Linked DNA regions of Arabidopsis thaliana. The protein of the gene in region 3 interacts with the protein of the main gene of each other region in a pairwise test. Each region holds a gene or a part of one and is shown on either strand. Other genes may lie near its edges. The genes, in order: AT2G18850, GT-1, NF-YB7 and WRKY42.

Region 1 (6,502 bases), 2.5 Mb from region 3:
CGGATCGTGAGTAATTTGAAGCTTGTGGTGTTTCCTAATCCGTATAGGGAAGATCCTGGGAAGGCTCTTAGAGATTGGGATCTTTGGGGTCCGTTTTTCTTCATTGTGTTCTTGGGTCTTACTCTTTCATGGTCAGCTTCCGTCAAGAAGGTTAGCTCTCAGATCAGTAGCTAGTTTCTCTCAGCTTTAAGCTTGTGTGATCTAAATGTGATCTGGAACTTTAGCTTTTAGGTATCTGATAGAGTTCTTTAGAATGTCTCTGTTACAGAAAATGAGTGGGATTAAAGATAGCATTTCACTTCATTGCATTAAGATTGTTCCTTCAATTGTGAATTGTTTGATTATAGATGGAACACGATGACGGGAAACAAGGATTGAGTTACAGAAAATTAGGAGTTTTTAAATGGGAGTGAAGATAGCATTTCCACTTCTTTGCATTAAGATTGTTCTCCAATTGTGATTTTTTAGATTATAGAAGGAACATGATGAAGAAAAATGAGGACTGTTCTTGTGGCATTGCTTCTCACTTGATTCTTAGGCTATAGGTTATATAAAGCTTCTTTCTTGTACAGTGGATCATGTAGGATTTTGACTCACAAAGTAGCACTTTGGATGCACTATTCTGAGTTATTAGCATGTAGGTCTGATTAAAGGATTGAATTTGAATCTGATGTAATTACAGCTTATCTTGCCGATATTGAGTGGCTTTTCATAGAATGCTATCTATTATCTATCAGAATTCGTCTTTGTCTCATACCTTTTCCCTTTGATTCCAGTCCGAGGTATTTGCAGTGGCATTTGCACTATTAGCAGCCGGGGCGGTGATCCTTACACTAAACGTGCTTCTCCTGGTAAACCACCACTGCTCTCTCCTTGTATCTCGTGCAGATGTTTTTCGTTTGATCACATACTTACAACCATTATGTTGTGTCATGAACAGGGTGGACATATAATCTTCTTCCAAAGCTTGAGCCTTCTAGGTTACTGTTTATTTCCGCTAGACGTTGGAGCCGTGATCTGCATGTTGAAAGACAATGTGATACTGAAGATGGTGGTTGTGTCTGTAACCCTTGCCTGGAGCTCATGGGCTGCTTACCCTTTTATGAGCTCAGCGGTTAACCCAAGAAGAAAAGCACTCGCTCTATACCCCGTCTTCCTCATGTATGTGTCAGTCGGTTTTCTCATCATAGCCATCAATTGAATCCCCAATTTTGAGAAGAAAAAGGGAATCATCACAGGTATTCTCAGGAATCAGCTTGGATAGAAATTTTTCATACATACACAAACCATCCTGAGTTCTGATGATCATGTATAAACATGTTTTGTTACCCTTTTTTGTGGGTTTGGTTAAAAAGAAGATCATCATTTGTATGTGCCCCGCTCTATCTGCATTAAGCTTACATTTATCTTTTTGGCCATAAATACAATTTTTTTACCAAACATTACTTCATATGGTTTCTCGAGATAGTATCGACATGCAATTTTGTTGGTCGTCCACCCAACCCTAAACACGTGTTATAGTATTAACATGGAAATGTGGAAACCAGATCACAACCATGCTAAAACAAGGGTTAAATTTTATTTAGTAATCATTAGCATAATCGAATAGATTATGAACATATTTTTGATATATAATAATACCAAATTCAATATTTGCTTTAAATTTATATTTATATTTTGGAATCGCAATAAAAAAATTGTTTACACAATCCATCATTCGTTATTTTCAAAATTATTCTACTTATTTTATTCATTTCAAAATTATTCGAATACATTAATGAACATCATTCATTTTTCAATTTTTTTTTGTTATTCAACTTATTTATTCATTTTTATTTATTTATTCAACTTTTTAATTTTTATTTTGTTGTTAGCTTCCATTTGCATATGCTTCGTATCGTATATCATCACTTCCAGTTTTTTACCGGTTGGGGGGGGGGGGGGGGAAGAAGCAGAGATGATTCGTCAACAAACAAAAACGAATTTATTTTGAACCAAACCGGATGTATATTTTAAACCGAAATCAAACCGGGAAAACCTGTATTGACGAGCCCTCTTCTTCTTCAGCTAGTGAGAGGCTGCCTCACTTGCTTGCTGGTTTGATACTGCCAAGTTTTTCGCTTTCTCAGCTCTTCCTTCGATGGTAATCTTCAAATTCCTTTCCTTTAGACCCTTATTAATCTTATTGCTTTTGTAATAGACTTGGTTTAGTGTGTTTTTTGTCGTAGCGAGTTTAATCTTGTTGCTGGTTATTGTAAGGTTGGTGCTTTGAATATCATGTCAGAGACTGGTGATTTATGTGTAGAACTTCCCAAAGATGATCCCTTTTATCACCACAAAAAGGTTCAATTTCCTAATTTCTCTGCTCTTCTGTTATCTCAATACTCAAAGCCATTAGCTTTTTTTTTGCCTTATAGTCTAAAGATCAGATTTTTCATGTGCCAAAGTCTTAAAATATTACACTGTTTAGTTTTTCTCATGTTTTGTTTGAGTTTTTATGAAAATGAATTTTCTTATGATTTTGTGTCTGTAGAAGTTCTTGAGTTGCAAAGGTTTATGCGTAAAGGAAACATTGAACCTCAGTGGATCATTATCTCAACAACTGTTGAATGCTGCATTGGAAAAGTTGCTTCATTTTGGACGAATAGTTAATCTCGATAAGGTAAGCAAACATCGTAGGCCATTGTAATGCATGTGAAGTTGCTTAGATGATGGATTGAGTGAAATGCAGGTGGAAGTTTACTTTGGTGAGGATGCTTGCACTCCTGCAGGAATTTACAGTGTTAGAAACGAAATCTCAGCTCTCAGCTGGATCCTTTCGCTTATACCGGTTTCTTGTAAGATGCAAACACAAGTTGATACCTTTGAAGCTCTACGAGCTGCTTTAAAAGGTAGAATCAATGAGGTTGTTGGAGCTGAAAAGGAGAAAGCTAGAGTTGTTGATAGCTATAGATGCGAAAAGGAAAGCAAATTAGTAGAATGGGGTCAGGACAATGGAGTCAAAACCAAATTGCAGATAGCTCGTAAGCTTAACGGTTTTTTTCTGTTATGAAGTTATCAACAGAGATTTAAGTTTATGACAATGTGTTTTATAAATTTGGATAGAAATTGATGGCTATGGACGAGGAGCTATAGCTAGCGAAGACTTGAAATTTGGCGATGTTGCTTTAGAGATTCCAGTCTCAAGTATCATTTCGGAGGAGTATGTGTACAACTCCGACATGGTATATCATTTGAGTTCATCCTGATTTAAAGATTGCGTCAGTTTCATCATAGCAATGCTATATGATGAGTGTTCTCTTGTCTTCAGTACCCAATATTGGAGACGTTTGATGGCATTACATCTGAGACAATGCTGCTCTTATGGACCATGAGGGAAAAGCATAACCTGGACTCGAAATTCAAACCATACTTTGACTCTCTGCAAGAGAATTTTTGTACCGGTAAAATTGTTTGGAGAACTAAATATTCAATTCTTGTAGCAGTGTTTGTTTCAAAGAGACAACAAACATTGATTCTCTCATTGCAGGTTTGAGTTTTGGGGTTGATGCAATCATGGAGCTTGATGGTACATTGCTTTTAGATGAAATAATGCAAGCTAAAGAGGTGTGACTTGATCCCATCTCTTATCTTTTGGTTCTGTGATTTGTATTATGTTCTTGATTCCATTGGCAATTGTTTGTATATCTGCAGCTTTTGCGTGAGAGGTATGATGAATTGATTCCTCTTTTATCGAACCACCGGGAAGTATTTCCACCGGAGCTCTATACATGGGAACATTACTTATGGGCTTGTGAGTTGTATTACTCAAATAGCATGCAAATCAAATTCCCAGATGGAAAGCTGAAGACTTGCTTGATTCCTGTCGCCGGTTTTCTCAACCATTCTGTATGTGTCTTCTCTCGTTCTGCCTCTGGTATACTAAGTAATTCCTATCACTATCCGGAATATGATAATTTGGCGGGTTTTGCAGATATACCCACACATAGTGAAATATGGAAAAGTAGACATTGAGACGAGTTCCTTGAAGTTCCCAGTCTCAAGGCCTTGCAACAAAGGGGAACAATGTTTTCTTAGCTACGGAAACTACTCTAGTTCGCATCTGTTAACATTTTACGGATTTCTACCAAAAGGGGATAACCCGTATGATGTCATTCCCTTAGGTAGTTTAACCTTACCTCATTCTGAGATCACTCAGGCTTACATGCTTTTTTTGCTTTAAGTTGTATCTCTTCCTTGCAGATTTTGATGTCATTGATGATGAAGACATCGAGACCGAGTTTTCTTGGACAACTCACATGTTACGCGGGACTTGGCTATCGAGTAATCACAACATCTTCCACTACGGCTTGCCTACTCCATTGTTGAACTACTTGCGCAAAGCTCATGGTCTTGTTCATCATTCTGAAACAGATGTATATATTCTTCATCACCTTCGTATAACTACATCTATATCTCTATGAATCTAACACTTAAGATATTTTTCTCATTTCTTGATTCTTTTAAGTTATGGAAGAACTTGGAAGTTGAGATAGGAGTACTTGAGAATCTCCAATCCACATTCGACGACATGATGCAAAATCTTGGCGATGCAGATTCTATCGACAGGTATCAGTAGTTGTCTTGTCATGATATACAAAAGCTGAAACAGAGTGACCAATTACTTAGTAATCCGTCTGGTTTTACACTTTTACAGAGAAAACGCGGATTGGGATGTTAAACTAGCGATGGAGTTCAAAGAGCGGCAGAGAAAGATTGTCTCATCCATTCTTGATTCATGTTCTGCAGGTATCAAACTAGTTCAAGAATCCATAACTAACCCACCGGTTTAGCTAAGGTAGAATGAGATGAGAACCTGATCTTGGATTCAGCTTATACTGTATTATGAAATGTATCTTCTTGACAAAGTTAAATTGTGTGAGTTAAAAGACTTTAGTTCAATTTTAGTTACATTTTAGTTACATTTTAGTTACATACTTCCTCTGTTTAATCTCATTAGACACCTCTTTTTTTCTTGCTTATATAATTGCTTCATATCCACGTAATCTCATTAGACACCTCTTTATATAATCTCATTAGAATTTATAAATTTATGTACTTACGTACGTACGTACGTGTGCGACTAACCCTAGACAAATTAACCGAATACTCTTTTTTTTGCAAATGCATCACGCATGGTACCCTAATAGTGGTGTCTCCATCATTTGTCATTACTTTCTGAATGCAAAATGAGTAATCAGATTCATTAACATTTGACTAATACTATATTTTCTCATATTTTTTGTGGGCATAGAGAATTATCAGTATTTTGAGCATATTATAAAAGTAATCTCAAATGGGAAACATAACAAATAATAAAAAAGAATGAAAAAGTTGATGTGGCTGCTGGTGGCAGCAAATTGGCGGACCCCATCTTCCAGGTTACATTCTTGTCGTTTTCCAGCTTCTTAACACAGAGCTATAATCTCATGCACCAAAGAGCATACTAATATCCTATGTCTCCGAGTAATAATCAGCCACGTTTCTATAATAGACACAAGTTGGTGTGACACTGACAAGAAAATAAATAAGATTTATAGAAAGTGGGAACAGAACACAAAAAAAAAGCTGAAACAAAGAGTTCGAGAAAAATTTCGATTCTCTTGCTCGTAAAAGCTTCTTTTGATTCTCTTTGACTCTGTTTTGTGGATAGCTCCTGAAGAAGAAGAAGATGATGGTAGTGAACAGCTTTGATCTATGGCAAAAAGATGTTTTCTTCTCTGCAGCTGAAGAGGTTCAAAAATCTACAGATATGTATGGTTTCTTGTTAGATTTTGATCTTGTAATCTCTTCTTTGAGCTTAGCTTTTGATCTTGCATAAATTAAGAGATTGAGATGTGTTTAATTTGCTATTGTTCTTTACTTGGATTTTAGAATGGAGTCTGCTTATAGATTGTGGATTAGAGAGAAGAAAGATGAGATTTGTAAGGAACTTCAAGCAGCTTTAGGTACAGCTAAATGGCAGGTACAATAATGTTTCTTGAAACATTTCTGGTTTAGTTGTGTTCTTGTTCTTGTCTAGTTCTTGAAAAGTTTTGAAACTGTGTTGAATCAGTTGGAGGAGTTTGAGAAGGCAGTGAGATTGAGTCATAAACGGTGTGGGGATAATGATTCTTCATCCACACGGCATAAACAGTTTGTTACCGCTATTGAAAACCAGATTCATCGCGTAGAAACTTCTCTGCAAGAAGCTTATAGTGAAAATGGGAAAAAGCCTCTCCGTTGGGTTGATCTTAATGAAGAAGAGCGTGATGACTTAGCAATGTTTCTCTCTGGATCTTCTCGAACTTCACAGAGTTTTAGTGGTGAGAGCAGCATCAAGTCGAGAGAGTCTACTAATAGTTCTCTAGTTGAAAACGTTATGGAAGTTTCAGCTAAAGTAACATTCAAGAAAGCTAAAGTTTATGGTGATGGCTCTGAGTGTGTCATAGACATTGAAGAAAGAGTGACACCTGGCCAAGCA
Region 2 (5,621 bases), on a different chromosome or scaffold from region 3:
TGTATTTTTTTCATTATCTGAATTATTTGTAGTGATTTTGTGGAATTTTCATATGTTATTTCTGATCTTATCCCTTTTATTTTGAAGTGTCATTATTCACAATGTTCTAAAGTAATCGTGAAGTGAAAAGAACCACAATATATCATTATCAAAGTATATGTTAAAATTCGATTCTAAGAGAAAGAAAAAAAAAGATAGAAAGAAAGATGCAATAATTGATGCAAACCTTCTCGACAAAAACAATTATTGACGCAAAACTTTAACTATTGGAATCTTATCCTGATGATCTGCTTATAACCAATGTTATTCCACTTACGTGATATTTAAGATCTAGAAGTTGGTTTATTTATGCATAAACATTTCAATTAACTCAGTTTCATTTGTATGTTTGTGATGTTTATGCTGTCTTGATTCTGTCTTCCTCCTTTTCACGCTGTCTCAAAGGAGAAAAGTAATAAGGAGATCACGAGGGAGATTCAAGCTATAATGAGACAAGTTGCTTCCAGCATAACTTGCTTGCCTTGTCTCCATGAAACATGTAAGAGAGAGAGACATTAATCGGCTTGGCGGTTGGATAAGGTGTGTTTGTTGTGTTGGGAGCATTTACTGATACCGATGTGGCTGTACCGTTCACCTGGATCAAGAGAGTGGTTGAATTACATTCTTTGATACTAGTGTTTGTTAATCAAATCATTATAGTGTTTTCTCAGTAGTATAAGTTCAGAAAGTTTCTCTGGCTTTGCAGATTGACAAGGTCGAACACACTCATTTCATACAAGAACAATAAAAGGGATGAAGAATGACTCTGATACCACACACAAACACTCGCTCGTCTGATTGTGAACAATTTATTCACTTCTCTTATGTTCTGTTCTTACAAATGTAACAGACCAAAAATCTATTTTGAGGTCTTCTTGGTCTGTACGGTAAATGCCAGTTATGATATTTCATATTTGAGCAAGTACATGAAAAAAAGAAGAAATGTATAAAGAGAATGAGATCATATCTACAGGGGACTGTTTTCTGATCAGATAACTGTTGATAGAATTGGAGAAGAAGTTTTGTGATCTCATTTCCTCATCTCACACCTCGATACACAGCACCAGGTTGAAGATCATCCATGTTTTCTATGTTCCTAAAACCATCAACTTGCAGGCTTGACCATCCCTGTCGAGCCAGAAACTCGCGGTAGTCTTCTTCAGTGTAGAAGATTTTCTCTTCTGAATGGACTGGTAATTGGTTGGATTCATCATAATGGCAAACCCTAATGGCCAGTCCTGCAAGATGGGTTTTGCATACTGACAATTCAGTAAAAAACACACACACAGTTCAAAAGATACGAATAGTGGCAAATTTAATCTTACCATCATCCAGACGGAGTAGATAGTTCCCTAAGGGCATGTCTCGGTCAAGACAGCGAATAATCTGATCTTCATCTTCTAACCAAAAAGCCCTTCGAGTTCTTAACCCAAAAGCAGATCTGATTACCTCTTTGATTGCTTCTGCACTACCATCAACACCGATTCTTCTTGTATAGTCACCAAATTTCACTGTTATGACCCTACCACCAAAAGGCTGACCATGACTATCATCACCTGCTTGTATAAACATGAAACAAATGAAAAGCTCTACTCAGTTATAAAGAGACCGAACGAATAAATCAAGCAGAGGAGCAGAGGCTGTGAAGCAACCTCAAAATGAGAAAACGTGGATTCTTACACATATTACACCATGCTTGGAACATAAACATACAGTTCAAAAAACATATCTTTAGCCTTATAGAAAATTAAACTTTGAGGCTTAAGTTTATATAAGCTTTTTCTGAGGACTTGCCGTTTCCAGGAGTCTCTCTCCAATTCCAAGGAGTAACTCCATTTGCTGCAACAGCATCAACTGCTGTAGTGATTGCAAGAGGATGACCATCATGATCAAGACGCCTTTCAAGGTTTAAGGCTGGCCTGCCATTAGCTGAAACATAGATATATATACACTTTTCAAACATACACACACACACACACATCCTCTAGAAACAAAACTAAACCATCTAACACAGAAACTGCCTGTGAATTCTACGGCACAGTCATGTTTACTATTTGTTTCAGTCCCAAATGTTCACTTCACTAAGCAAGTTCATACCTCTACTATTGCTCACTCAGGGAGATGTTTTCGACCAACTTAAAAGACAACTTCAAGAGGCAGTAGACAAACAAAAGCTCGTCTCTTTGTATACATAGCAAGATACTATAATAAACAAACTAATAGTGATAGATAAGTACCTTCAACGGATCCAAAAGAAATGCTCGTATCATCAAAACCTACAATGAAAGATAAAATTACCACTTAGCCAAAAGAAAATTAAAGGCACAAAATCCACATACGCAGATTCATTTACCAAAACTATCATCTTCTTTAAAGATAACTGAAAAACCACAATAAGAAACCTACTCTAAAATGTAGTATCTTCTCAGCCTAAGATACAGATAAGAATTTTCCCAAATAGTAGCAACAAAAACCATAATCACAGTTACGTTCTCTGAATCCAAATCAAGAAATCTACAATTGATGCCAAAGTTTATACCTTTATCAGTAAATTGCATAAAGGAATCAACTTTGGCTGATGTAGGTGGTGTATTAGGGCTCTTATTATACTGTGGTGGTGTCACTTTTTTGCTCCTCTCTCTAAGAATATCTTCAATCTCTTTGTAATACGACATCTTCGCCGATCCATTTCCTCTATCATGATGCTTAGCTTTCTTAAACTCTTTCAACAGATTCCTCCATTTATCAGTACACATAGTCGGAGATCGATCAAACCCTTTTTCTCTCATCTTAGACGAAATCTGTTCCCAGAGATGTTTATTAGATTTGGATGTATTGAATAAACCATCCATACCTCTACGGAACATGATTAAGCTACGAGTTTCGTCTTGAACCCATGTCTCCGCTCGTTTCTTTGGTGCTTTAACTTCGTGATCTTCTCCACTGCTTTCTCCGAGGAGAATCTGTTGTTGTGGCTGAGATTGGTGGAGATGATGATTGTGGTGATTGTGGTGGTGGTGAGATTGTAGATCTACTGATTCGTTGGTAGTGGTGAGTACATCGATCATCATATCGCGTGTGGTGCTGGTGGTGGAGGAATTGTGATGATCGTCTTTGTAGAAATCAGTAGGACGAGATTTGTCGGAAATGAACATTGCTGTGTTTCCCGGACAGAATGGATACGATGTTCCTTTGTTCCCACCACCGTCAACACAAAAGCCCCCTCAGAACAAAATGAAAAAAAAGGTTTTAACTTTAAGTTAGGTTTTCTCTATCTTAGTCTAGAGATTTGGTTTTGGATAAGGATAATTACAAATTTAAAGTTTTGGTTATATAAATTGGTTTGAATGTTTTTGCCATATAAACTTTGTAATGTCAATCTGTTATTGCAAATATTAGCATGTGATGTTTGTATCTTGATGCATCAAACTTCATCACCTTGGCATCTGATATATAACTTACATCTTGTGTGCATCCATAAGACCAAATGCATCAAAGATTCGAAGGGAGAAAATGTCAAAAAAGAAATGAGACACTCTTCTTTGGAACAAAACAATAACTAAAACCATAAACCGAAATTAAGTTTGTATTAAACACAAGAAAGATTGAACCGAAAAACCAAACCAATATAACCGATTTTATTACATACATTCAAAACTATGTCGTATAATAGTGTTACGGTCGGCAATTAAAATCTGGAATTTTAAAACATTTTGAAGTGTTGTCAGCTTGAAAATTCTGTAAAAATTACTAATTCAAGTGAGGGAGGAGTGGACCTGGCAGGCCAGACCGAACACACACACAAAAAAAAACAATATTAAAATAAAGGGGAATAAAAAAACAATTAAAATTAAATTAAAATAGAATTGAGAAAAAAAAGTTTGATCAGCCATCGGAGGAGAAGAGAGAATGATAGATAACTGGATCACGAGAAGTCACAAATCTCAAAGAAGAAGAAAGAAAACCAAAATCAAGAACAATAACAACAATTCGCAATGATTTGAGCCAAATCTAAAGGGTACAAATTCTTAATTTCAAAGTCAATCAACAACATCGAAGGAGGTTTTTTTTTGGAAGAAGAACTTGAATGTGAATTTTTGTAAGCTTTTTTTATTTCATTATTCATCGTTTTTTTTTTCCTACTTTTGACCTTTGTTTTGTGCAATCGGAGGTGTTGTAATGTGCGATTTCTCTTGATTTTTGATTTTGTGATTGCGTTTGTTTCAGAATCAGAATCGAAAGTTTCGATTTTTATGGTTTGTAGTGGTGATTTTTTTCTGTTTCTGAGTTTCGTGAGTGAATAAAGAAGAAGAAAAAATGGTTTTGTTGTAATAAATTTGGTAAATTTTGGGATTTATCTCCATTTCAGGTTCTTGATATAACTAACTTTGTGTGTGTTTTAGTATCATATCTTCAATATTTCAGGTTCTTAATCTGTTTTTCTTGTTTTTTTGTTCTGTTATTCAGATGGAGTTGATGAAATTGTTCTTCTAGATGTTTGTTTTGGGGATATGAACAAAGAAGAATCTGAGTTTAATACACTATGTGGAAACAGATTCTGAGTAAGCTTCCTAAGAAGTCTTCTTCTAAGAACCATTCTTCTTCATCTAGTTCCACTTCAAAAAGTAGTGATAATGGCGCCAGTAAATCGGGTAATTCTCAAACCCAGAACGCTCCTCCTGTAAAACCTTCTGCTGATTCAGGGTTTAAAGAAGGGAATTTGAAAGGAAATGGTAACGGTTTCACTCCATATGAAGCATTGCCAGGTTTCAAAGATGTTCCTAATGCAGAGAAACAGAACTTGTTTGTGAGAAAACTCAGCTTGTGCTGTGTTGTTTTCGATTTCTCGGATCCAACGAAGAACGTTAAGGAAAAGGATATTAAGCGGCAGACATTGCTTGAGCTTGTGGATTATGTAGCTTCTCCTAATGGAAAGTTTAGTGAAACTGTGATTCAAGAAGTGGTTAGAATGGTTTCTGTTAACATATTCAGAACCTTGAATCCTCAACCGCGCGAGAATAAAGTTATTGATGCGTTAGACTTGGAGGAAGAAGAGCCTTCTATGGATCCTACTTGGCCTCACTTGCAGCTTGTCTATGAAATTCTCCTGCGGCTTATTGCTTCACCAGAGACAGACACCAAGCTGGCTAAGAAATACATTGACCAATCTTTTGTCTCAAGGTTACTTGATTTATTTGATTCAGAGGATCCTAGAGAAAGAGATTGTCTTAAGACCGTTCTACATCGCATCTACGGTAAATTTATGGTTCATCGTCCTTTCATAAGGAAATCCATTAATAACATTTTCTATCGGTTTGTTTTCGAGACTGAGAAACACAATGGGATTGCTGAGTTTCTAGAGATTTTGGGAAGTATCATCAATGGATTTGCTCTGCCGCTTAAAGACGAGCATAAAGTGTTTTTGGTTAGAGCTTTGGTACCTCTTCACAAACCGAAAAGCTTGCAAATGTATCATCAGCAATTGTCTTATTGTATCACACAGTTTGTGGAAAAAGATTGCAAACTCGCTGATACGGTTATAAGGGGACTACTCAAGTCTTGGCCTGTCACAAATAGTTCCA
Region 3 (4,147 bases):
ATAACAAAAAGAATAGCAGCTGCGGTGATTAAGGAAGCGATTGAGGAGGATTTGGTTGAAGGATATAGAGAAATGGACGCTCGAGAGATCCAAAAGCTGGATGAGGTAACAATTCAGCTAATGACTTGCTTTAATATAATCATAAATGATAGAAAAAGAAAAGATGTCAAAACAACATCCCATCTTTCACGTGTTTTGGACTCCTGATCATAAAATCGTATTCTACGAAGAATGTCGATCGGGTTTGATTATATGTAAAGAACAGAAGAGTGTTTACCTGATTTCTCACTTAGAGAAAATAAAGACTAAACCAGAAACTAAGCCTAAATGTTAGTTATGTTGACGCGGTCTTGTGTATTCCGCAGGAGGGGCTGATGGAGTATGTGGAAAACAACATGTGGAATCCAGAGTACCCGACTTTGGTCTACAAGGATGACTAAGTTTGGTTCCCAAAATGAATAAGTCTACTTTCTCTTATTTATATGTAAAAATTTATAATTGGGGTTGCTTTATACCCAATCAAATTCATAGCTACTGCTTTCTCTTGTTCTTATGTAAAAAAAAAAAAAATATATAATTGGGTTGTTTGTTATCCAATCAGATTCATAGCTTCCACTTTCTCTTATTTATATGTAAAAAAGAAGTTATATTCAATCAGATTCATAGCAGCAACATTTTACATACATCGTATTAGAAATGCATTTACTTTTATAACTTATAGTTTCAGGTCAAGATACTAAGAGTAGTGAGTGAGGAACAATTTGAAGTTCTTTAATTCAAGCAATCATCTTTATCAATCATAACATGAGTAAATGAATGAGAAACAATACACCATTCTCTTCCAATTAAGCTATTCTCTACTGGAAACCTTATAAGCTAGACCACTAACTCTCAAACCGTAGGTGGTAAGTATTCTAATCCAATTAGCAGCATGGAATTAGTTTCTACTGTTGTAAATCATGAGAGATTGCTATATTTGCTCGAGACGAACTAATCCGGAAAATATATGAAGACGAATTTCTGTTACACAAAACCATGGGTATACTGAAAATATCAAAATGTACGTGTCTAGTGTCTATATAGCAACAAATATATATAAGCATCAAGATGTACTCACAAAAGGTAAAGAAAAGCATATAATATGTGAAAAGAAAGAAGAAAAAAAGCAAATGTCTCTCTCACCAGTGAATTGAATCAATGTTATTATCATGCTGCTGCGGGAACTGTTTCTGCAATGATTTAGGAGAGAAAGCAATATTGGGAAAAGGTTGATGATCCACTGGTAGGAATGGAGAAGGATGATGATGAGAGATGTAACTAGTACATGACATGTTGTTATTGTTTTGGTCTTGTTCTTGAAACTGATAATTATGATGATTCTGTTGTTGAATCTGCTGTTGTTGTTGTCTTTGTTGTTGTTGTTTTGGGCTGTTAACTTTCTCTCCTTCGGTGTCTCTATATTTGCAGAGGTAGACCTTTAATGGAGCCACGTAGTCTTCGAAACCGAGAGTTGTGATAGCCCAAATGATATCATCTCCATTGATGGTCTTCCTCTTTTCTCTTTGACACTTGTCAGAAGCTTCACCAGTGACGAAACTAATGAACTCCGAGACACATTCTTGAACGGTTTCTTTAGCGTCTTTTGAGATCTTACCGTTACCGGGAAGAACTTTTTTCATGATCCTTCCGACATTCGCAATGGGAAGAAACCGGTCTTGTTCTTTGTTGTTGTTGTTGTTGTTGTTGGTCTTTGAAGAAGGGCTTCCTGGATTTGTTTCAGCTACTCCAGGAGACCCATGATCTTCTTCTGGGCTCTCCTCAGTCATATCTCTATCTCTTTGTTTTTTTTTGTGATTGATGTTAACCACATGTGATCAATCTGATTTTATGGTTAAGCTTAGTGCATGAAACTAGGCAACTTTTCTATTTATGGATACCTTGCCAACCAAATTTGGAACTCCATGCGACTCGCTCCTTTTTTTTTTTTTTTTTTTTTTTCTTTGTTATTTGCCAGATAATAAAGAAAAGTGTAAGAAAATAGCAATCATGTAACATATTGTCATCAAATAGTGTTTTCAATTTATTATTTTCCGTAGTATGTTTATTTAGTATGTAGACAACTATAAATTATCATGTCTCCATAATGCTTTGATTTATTGTATTATAGTAATTTCCTAAACTCTAGCCTGGTAAATATATATGGTGGTTATTTATCCGAGAATATTACACGTAAAGGCACTATTTTGAAACTTTGGCCACAAATAGGCACTTTAAAAGCATTAGTCACTTTAACTCAGTAGAATTACCCCTTTACCCTGAAATCGTTAGTTTAACAAAACCTAACAAATTTAGCCGGTTTTCGGTTTAATTTTTTAATCTCAATCTCTAAACTAAAACCAATTTGTGAGAAACCTCTTTTTCTCACCCAATCCTTCACGACGATTTTACAGTTTCATTTATCTGGGCAGTTAAAATCATCACAACGACGATAACATCATCTCGACTCCGGCGATCATCCCAACGAGTTTTCTACCGGCAAAGTCATTTCCTCGTCCCTCTCCCGTCGTTATCGTCAACAAAGCTTTCAATCGGCCGACATTAATTCGTCCTCTCCCGTCGTCGTCGTCAACACTTGTTCTCCCGTCATGGTCTTCATTTTCTTGTCTCTCAATCGATTCGTCGTCTCCGGCGTGTGCTAGTAACTTCTACTCGGTCCTCAAATGCAAGGTATTAATCTTCTCCAATCATTTTATTTGCTCTAATTATTCAACCGTGTGCTAATTTTATTTATAATATCCAACATTGTGAAGAGCTAATAGGTGAAGACATGAATGCTACGTTAGGTGATATTTCAAAAATGTTAATCACAAGACCTTATCTTCTTACCACAGACTTCGGCTTGCTTATCTCCTCATTGTTGACGGTGTCCTCGTATCCTCAAACCAACCTATTACGTCTACATTAAAATATGTAGAGATGTTGGCAGATTTGGAGAAGTTCCTTAACTGACTGAGGTCTACGTAACTGACTGTCTATACACATGTGGATAAATGGTCAAAGAAACATGGATAATATACTTTGGATTGACGTTTATTGTTCATGTATAAACTTATGTATTAGTATGAAACTATCATGTGAGTCTTTAGATGATCATGGACTGGACTGCTTGGACAATCATTAATGGACAAATATGTCTTTGATTTGCTGCGAATATGTTTATAGCTCGATAAAATTGTATCAACATGTCTATATACATGTGGATAAATGGTCAAAGAAACATGGATAATGTACTTTGGATTGATGTTTATTTGTAAATCTTAATATAAATGTCATCCAGTCATAGTGAATTATCCAATCAGACAAACGAATTAATACAGTTATGTTGTGGATGGATTCATATGGATACATTAACAATTATCTTTATCTTTCAACATGAAAAGCGTTTGATATGGATACATTAACCATATCGATAATCTTATCTCTATATTGCTGTTGAATGTTTTAGTGGTTTGTATCATATTATTTGTTTGTTCCATCCATAACAACATTTTTTCAAGTGCATCTAACATTTGATATCAGTTAACAATGCGAAGAAAAATAAATAATTTTGTGTATTTTGAACTATTGTTTATTTGGTAAATCATTCTAGCTAATTATGTTTACAAATACGTTAAAACTTAATATAAATGTCATCCAGTGATAATGAATTATCCAATCAGACAAACGAATTAATACATTTATATTGTGGATGGATTCTTATGGATACATTATCAATTATCTTTCTCTTTTACCATGAAAGACAAATCTAAAATTCCTTCTACCGGAAATATTGAGATACTGTTGTATAGCGGGAATATTCCCACCATCAGGTTTTAAACTATATTGTTTACAATATGATCAAAAAAAAAAAACATATGCACACTTAGAGACAAAGAGAAGCTCGTCAGCTCTCCCGTCTCAACCAGCTCGTCAGCTCACCCGTCTGAAGCATCTCGTCAGCCGGTCCGTCTCAAGTAGCTCATCAGATCGCCCGTCTCAAGCAGCTCGTCAGCTCACCCATCCGAAGTATCTCGCCAGCCGGCCCGTCTCAAGTAGCTTATAAGCTCGCCCGTCTCAAGCAGCTCGTCAGCTCACCCGTCCGAAGTAT
Region 4 (6,400 bases), on a different chromosome or scaffold from region 3:
AAAAAGAAGGAAAGAAGAAGATGATAGAGAGTAAAACCGTTATTTCTTATAGCAGAATATGTCCATCTCCGTTACCCTAACAAAAAGTGCTTTTTTCAGAGTTTTTAGAGTTAAATGTCCAAATATGTAAAAACCTCTGCTTAATTTACCGTTCACTATTAAGGATAAGTATCTATTGCAGACTAAAAATTTTCATACTAGTACACACTTAGCATAAAATTTGATACCATTATAAATTAACTGTTAGTCTGACTTTTTTTCATTCTACTCTCCAAAAACTCCATATCATCATATATAAACTTTATACCAACATATTGTTTGCTCCATATATACTATATTCCGACATTTTTCTTATTAAAATATTGATATGCGCATTGTCCAATCCACGTCATATGGACCCATTCAAAGCCATAGTATAATTTATTTTATAATACAAATGTAGATATCCTAGTTTCTCAACTATGTTTCTATTTGCGTATGCGGGAACATTCTTCACTTTCTCAAAATCCAGTCTAATTCTGTTTTTTTTTGGATAAAATGTCCAATCTTTCACTTAAATTATATATTTAACCAACCTTTAAAATAATGCCACACTTGACAAGTGACATATCGATTTAGTCTGGTCATCAACTTTTCACAAGCCAAACTCTTGAGGTCAGCATCGACTAATTTTAGAGTGAGTAAGTACGTTAATAGCAGTTCCATATATCCACCACAAATAAAACATCGTACCGATGTTCAGAGTCTAAGTGTTTGGGCTCCCTAAAGCAAAAAATATTATTGACCCACCAATAAAATATTACACAAACGGCTACACTGTAAGGAGATTTCTTAAATTTGATGCCCTAAAATCATAATATATTTATAATGCCTAAAGCATTTGCTTGTTGAGCTTCCGTTTTAGGCACAATACATCGAGTTTGATCATAATTAATGGCACATAGATGCGCATTTGATGACTTCATAAGAATTAATAGCTTCTGGAAAAATTAAGCAATTTTATATTTCTGAACACAATTGTCGATCATACAGAAGGAAAAGAGGGGGGGGGGGGGGAATTGCTCTCAATACTTGTTGTTTGGGAAAGAAAAGAAAAAACAAAAAAAAGCCGTAACTAAAAAATAATGTAATAAAAGAAAAACAAAACAAAATCGACCGATAAAAAGTCCCTAACTAAAACTTATAAAAAAATGTTATTGCCTATTGTCAACGTTGCTCGTTGTAACATTACTGTTATTGTTGTTCCCATTCTGCTGATTGTTCGAACCGTTGATAATCGAAGTTATGGCTGCAGCTAGAGCCGCGGCAAAGTTGGGATTGGAGGCGATTGCGGCAGTAGCGGCGCTAACACTCTCACCAGCGTTTAGCGGCTGAGACGGCATATGTAAACCCGAAAACTTAGACTGTTGGTTGTAGTACAAAGCCTGACCCATCATATGAGGCAAAACCGATTGGTTCAACTCCACCAAACCAGACCGTTGAGAGAATTGCATCAGCGGGTTATTGGTTGGATTGTTCCCGTTGGGTGACTCTGTGAGGTCTAATGTAATGGTTGGGAATGGTGCAGAGGCTGAGATAGTAGCCATGCTTGAGGAACACGGTAATATGGTTCGAGCCAAGAGATTTGTTGGGTTCATTAAACCGTCTTGGTTCGACATGGTGGAGCCTGAGAGAAGCATGCTTGCGGCTGCTGTTGTAGTTGAAGCCATGTTCATAGCCGCAGGAGGTAATGGATGGTTATGGTTTCCTTCGTAGGTTGTTATGAGAATGGTTCTATCTTCCGCGCAACGTTGCACCTGTTAGGTCATCATGAGTTTGTTACAATACATTATTTTTTTTTTCTCTAAATTATTACACTTGATTGATCACCTTCAAACATAATTTTAGATGTGTGAATTGTTTAGGTAACGTACTTGCTTGCGAACAGGACATCCAACAGCCATTGTGCAACGGTAATAAGCTCGAGGGCACGGGTTTCCTTTCGCCATTTTTTGTCCGTATTTTCTCCATTGACATCCATCGCTTAACTGTAAAACAATGTCATTGATGTTAATGAACCTCCAAAAACATTTGTAGAGATCAATCTTCATAGAAATTCTAGAGAGGAAGATTAATTAGTATTACCATGGGAGCTTCGGATCGAGCACGAACCGAGACACGGGCTTTACGCATGGTGGCTTCGGCGGCCGCTTGCTCAATGACCTTGCTACTTGCATTTTCACTGCCATTGCCACCGCAAATGCTGGATGATGCATGGTGTTTAGGAACTTTGTTAGGGTTTCTCCAGCCGTTGGATTCGGTTTCCGGGCTTTCTTCTCTTACAAGCACTCTCTTTCCGTTTTGACGTGAGCTAGATTTCTCTAGAAGCGAGGGAGGAGATCCCGACCGAACCGTCGTCCTCTCCTCGGACGACACTTCGTCAGAATGCGGTCCCAAATCGATGAACTGTCTTGGAACCATTTCAGGCACTTCATGTCGGTTCTTTACATTGTCATTGTTCTCGGTCGTAGCCTGATGAAAAACAAGGGTATAAAATCTTTAACTAATTATATGAAATAAATGATTAAGACGTATTAGAGTGTTAATTAATTACTAGGTGATGATGATCTTCTTGTTGCCTCATGACAGCAACAAGTTGCATCTGCAAGGAATTGAAGTTGTTGGTTGTTTGACTTAGCATTTGCTTTAGTCTTTGATTATCTTCACTCGCCTTCTTTAGCTCTTCGCGAAGTTGTGCATTCTTCATTTTATTAAAAAACAAAAAAATCATGTATCAGACATTAAATCATTCTAGTAAGAAAGAGTAAATCTCTCTAACATGTCCGGATCTTACGGACCGATACGAACAACATATAAAAATAGAATGTCTAAGTCTACGAAAACGGTATATTTTTACTAATTCTTAAGAAATAAAAAATTTGTAGAGAAAATCAGAAAATATCTTTTTATGCTTAATTATGTGACAAAATGAAGATGAACAGTAAAAATAATCAAAATTTAGCATAAAAATATTTTTATTTTTTTTGTCATCAGATATTATTTAAAATTCTGACGAATCAGAAAAGCGGAAAATTGTTTACGTACGTAACAGACGCACAAAAATATACACTCTTGATGGTTTTTGACAATCATTTTTTATTTGTTGGATTTTGACAATCTCTTTTTCTTTGGTTCGTGCGATAAATACACTAGTTGTGTCTTTTTTTTGTTATTATTACTCAAAAATGATCTATACTAATTGAATAATAAGTGTACCTCACACTTTGTACGTTTCTCTTCCATATCCACAGACAATCCATCATCCACCATTGACTCGTCGCTTCCCGTATTCGCAGTGAGAAGATTAAGTCCAATCTATTTACAATAATCATACACATTTCAATGAACAAAGTTTTCATCTATATAACGAAATTATTGTTTTATAATATTACTAACTAAAATCCGAAGTAATTAAATGATATTGACGAAAAGGAAAACAATGAAGTAACCAACGAGCTGTTGGTCCAGTGGTAAATTTCTCATGTGGATGTACTGGGTTTGATGCACGTTGGGAACGATCTCTTCTCCAAAAAAAATGAATTTAATCTAATGTGGGTTTCGCATATCGGAAATGTAGAATTTTTAGCTTGAACTTCTAGATAATAAAAAAAAAACAAAGAAAACAAAAGCGATGAGTTAACCATCTGCTTACATTGATGTGATCAGTAGAACGATCGTCATGATCATCAACACGTGAATTCTCCCTTTTGACATGAACCCTATGAGTCTCATCGGCGATAATGTTTTGTTCTTCACGTGAAACCCTATCTCTCTTCTCCGCTGATCGGAAAAAGTCAACCTCATTCACCACCGCACGTTGATGCTGCTCATCTGATGGCTTCAGATTCTCACGTGGACCTCCTCCAAGACTTACCGGAAAACGAAACATCTCTATAAATGTAGATATCTTAAGATCTTGATAGATATCTTAGATTGTTTTTTTTTTTTGTTACAAAAGTATGAATGAGTACGTACGGATGATGATTTGCTTGATGTTAAAATTTGATATCCAAATTTCCGAAACCCTAGTAACCAAAAAAAGGATATGTTACGTATCTAATCCTTTATATCTAGAGTGTGTTTTGTGTGTGAGTGATTGTTCCGTACCATATCTAATCATCCATATATAGAGAGGTGAAGAAGAAGATATCTTAGAAGAGAGAGATATGAGAGATACTTTGTCTAGTATGTGGTTAGAGACGAGGATAGAGAACCAGATGCTTCGGCTACAAAAAGGGTTTTGACGTGGACTCAGATATTGTCAATTTTTTCTACTAATATTATTTATAACTCTCTTTTTTTTTTTAATAAGCAATATTGTTATATAAAGACAATATTGTTGTCTATATTTGTTTTATGTCTGCTTCTACATAATAATATCGGTTTAAATCTTAGATTCTCGTGGAAAGATATTTGTGAAGATTTGTTTTGGTTCGTTTTTCGTCAGTGTCGACGTCATAGACCTATATTATTAACAAACATGTCATTTTTTTGTCCAAAGTTAACAAATATATCATACGACCCAACAATTTGTTTTATATTACAGACGTGTTGTTGGATCAAGCAATTCGAAAAGAGTAAAACTAATCAACTGTTGCTTACGAGAGGGAGTTGTGTGCTTTTTTTTTCTTTTTTTTTTGTCAACGAAGAGGTATGATTTATTAAAGAAGTTGTTTTTTTCCTTAAAGCCACTTCTTGCGGTTTGCTGATATTCTTAAAAAATTAGGTTGATTCTTCTCTTAAAGAATTACTTGACGTATTATGATAGAAAATATAGTAAATTGGAGAAAATGTACCATTAAAATACGTTTTCGTATCCTAGCAAAATTCTATATTTAGTAAGATAAGTTGTTATTGGGTAAATTAGCAAACACGTATTATATATTAAGGTGTAAAGTTTCGTGTTTTCTGATAGTAACACTTACTATCAGATAAATTAACATGTTGTTTGTTTAAATCATACATAAATTAGAATTTTAATAATCATATAATTTGTGTCAACAATGTGGACTATCCACTATAACATAACGAAAACACTAACACAACCTATAACAAAATCCTCGTCAATCAATCATAAAATTATATTTCTATAGACAAAAGTCGGGGTCATTTTAACTAGTTAATGGAAATGCATATGTTTTGATTAATACTTTTTTGTACTCGAGTAAAATTGAATTAATACATGAAAGACTATTGTTTTTGATTAACTGCAATATTTTACTGTTTTAACATGTCATAAGCAAAAGAAATACAAAACGGCACATTTTATTGAAATACAGTGATATCAGATAAATTAACATGTTATTTATTTAAATCACCCTTGAAATTTTTACTAATTTGGGACTAAACTGTAATCATCTAGAAGATTATTTATTCAAAAAAGTCAAAGTCACTTGACTAATATTGGAAAATGGTTAATTACGTACTTCATATACTCTACTAAAAGTTTAATTAGGAAAACAAACAGAGAAAACGAAATTGAATTTTGCGTTTAAGTGACATAATTTGTTTAAACAACAAAAGTTATTTTAACTAATAAACAGATAAAAAGAAATAAAAAGTACTAAATTGGTAAATTATCGTAGTATCATCTAGAATGTTTTTTTTTCTTTAAAGGGTTTAGTTATATATATTGGGATTATATAAATTAATATTGACCAATCTATTCTACTGAAAAATCTCACCGAAGAATATTTTTTCTAAAAAAAGCACTCTAATCTACGAAATGTTTTCAAAGACTTTGTCCTAATTAGTAAAACTTTGAATCCTTGGTTGATAGTCAAATATAGGAGCTTTAGATAAGAAAAAACTATTTTTAGCATAATTCTCATAATAGATTTTTCTTTTTTTTTGGACTAAATTACTTAAAATTATTTTTCTTTTTCCCTTTTTCTATTAGAAAGACTTTTGACTTGTTCATAGAAAAAATAGATCAGAAAATAGAAATGCATCTCATCACCGTTCGCAATTCAATCGCCGCTTCACACGTGATTGAAATTATTAAAAGCTTTATTTCTATTTAATGCCTATTAAATAAATCACATAGACTCAAACATGTACGAAAATTTTGTGATGATGTGTCTAATGTATCTACAAGCTTAAATAAAGATTTTGTGGTGGTTTTGAAAGATTCATCATATAAATTGAAAGACTAAGGTTTTGAGTTGAGCTAATCTTTTAAAATATTTAATATTTCAAGACACTTACTAATATTAGTTTTGCATAAACTTTTGTTCTCCGTAAAAATTTGATTTCAACAGACAATAGACAATGGTTGAGCTAAGTCAACGAGATTAATGGAATACCTCACACATTACTGACCGGTGACTGGCTGTGAGTCCCACTAAGTTTTCTATAAATA

Evidence for each region.
Region 1: the proteins of NF-YB7 (region 3) and AT2G18850 interact in a two-hybrid assay, tested with the Arabidopsis thaliana proteins (one large-scale study listed by BioGRID).
Region 2: the proteins of NF-YB7 (region 3) and GT-1 interact in a two-hybrid assay, tested with the Arabidopsis thaliana proteins (one large-scale study listed by BioGRID).
Region 4: the proteins of NF-YB7 (region 3) and WRKY42 interact in a two-hybrid assay, tested with the Arabidopsis thaliana proteins (one large-scale study listed by BioGRID).

What each region holds. Positions count from the first base shown.
Region 1 is NC_003071.7:8,158,648-8,165,149, forward strand, and holds AT2G18850 (SET domain-containing protein), read left to right. Parts: upstream 1-1,952; 5' UTR 1,953-2,140; coding exon 2,141-2,143; intron 2,144-2,259; coding exon 2,260-2,343; intron 2,344-2,533; coding exon 2,534-2,662; intron 2,663-2,731; coding exon 2,732-3,023; intron 3,024-3,105; coding exon 3,106-3,224; intron 3,225-3,310; coding exon 3,311-3,443; intron 3,444-3,529; coding exon 3,530-3,606; intron 3,607-3,693; coding exon 3,694-3,888; intron 3,889-3,973; coding exon 3,974-4,163; intron 4,164-4,242; coding exon 4,243-4,415; intron 4,416-4,507; coding exon 4,508-4,608; intron 4,609-4,696; coding exon 4,697-4,832; 3' UTR 4,833-5,115; downstream 5,116-6,502. Other genes in the region: AT2G18840 (Integral membrane Yip1 family protein), read left to right, coding at 1-150, 777-851, 941-1,201; AT2G18860 (Syntaxin/t-SNARE family protein), read left to right, coding at 5,711-5,793, 5,914-6,004, 6,095-6,502.
Region 2 is NC_003070.9:4,611,922-4,617,542, forward strand, and holds GT-1 (Homeodomain-like superfamily protein), read right to left. Parts: upstream 3,339-5,621; 5' UTR 3,195-3,338; coding exon 2,579-3,194; intron 2,316-2,578; coding exon 2,277-2,315; coding exon of another isoform or gene 2,242-2,276; intron 1,969-2,241; coding exon 1,834-1,968; coding exon of another isoform or gene 1,787-1,833; exon of another isoform or gene 1,596-1,786; coding exon 1,365-1,595; intron 1,278-1,364; coding exon 1,078-1,277; 3' UTR 810-1,077; downstream 1-809. Other genes in the region: AT1G13460 (Protein phosphatase 2A regulatory B subunit family protein), read left to right, coding at 4,583-5,621.
Region 3 is NC_003071.7:5,654,664-5,658,810, forward strand, and holds NF-YB7 (nuclear factor Y, subunit B7), read right to left. Parts: upstream 1,856-4,147; 5' UTR 1,827-1,855; coding exon 1,179-1,826; 3' UTR 728-1,178; downstream 1-727. Other genes in the region: NAD-ME1 (NAD-dependent malic enzyme 1), read left to right, coding at 1-105, 366-440.
Region 4 is NC_003075.7:2,215,907-2,222,306, reverse strand, and holds WRKY42 (WRKY family transcription factor), read right to left. Parts: upstream 4,266-6,400; 5' UTR 3,929-4,265; coding exon 3,692-3,928; exon of another isoform or gene 3,355-3,691; coding exon 3,256-3,354; intron 2,741-3,255; coding exon 2,594-2,740; intron 2,512-2,593; coding exon 2,125-2,511; intron 2,028-2,124; coding exon 1,914-2,027; intron 1,797-1,913; coding exon 1,194-1,796; 3' UTR 1,057-1,193; downstream 1-1,056. UniProt on the Arabidopsis thaliana protein: Transcription factor. Interacts specifically with the W box (5'-(T)TGAC[CT]-3'), a frequently occurring elicitor-responsive cis-acting element. Modulates phosphate homeostasis and Pi translocation by regulating PHO1 expression.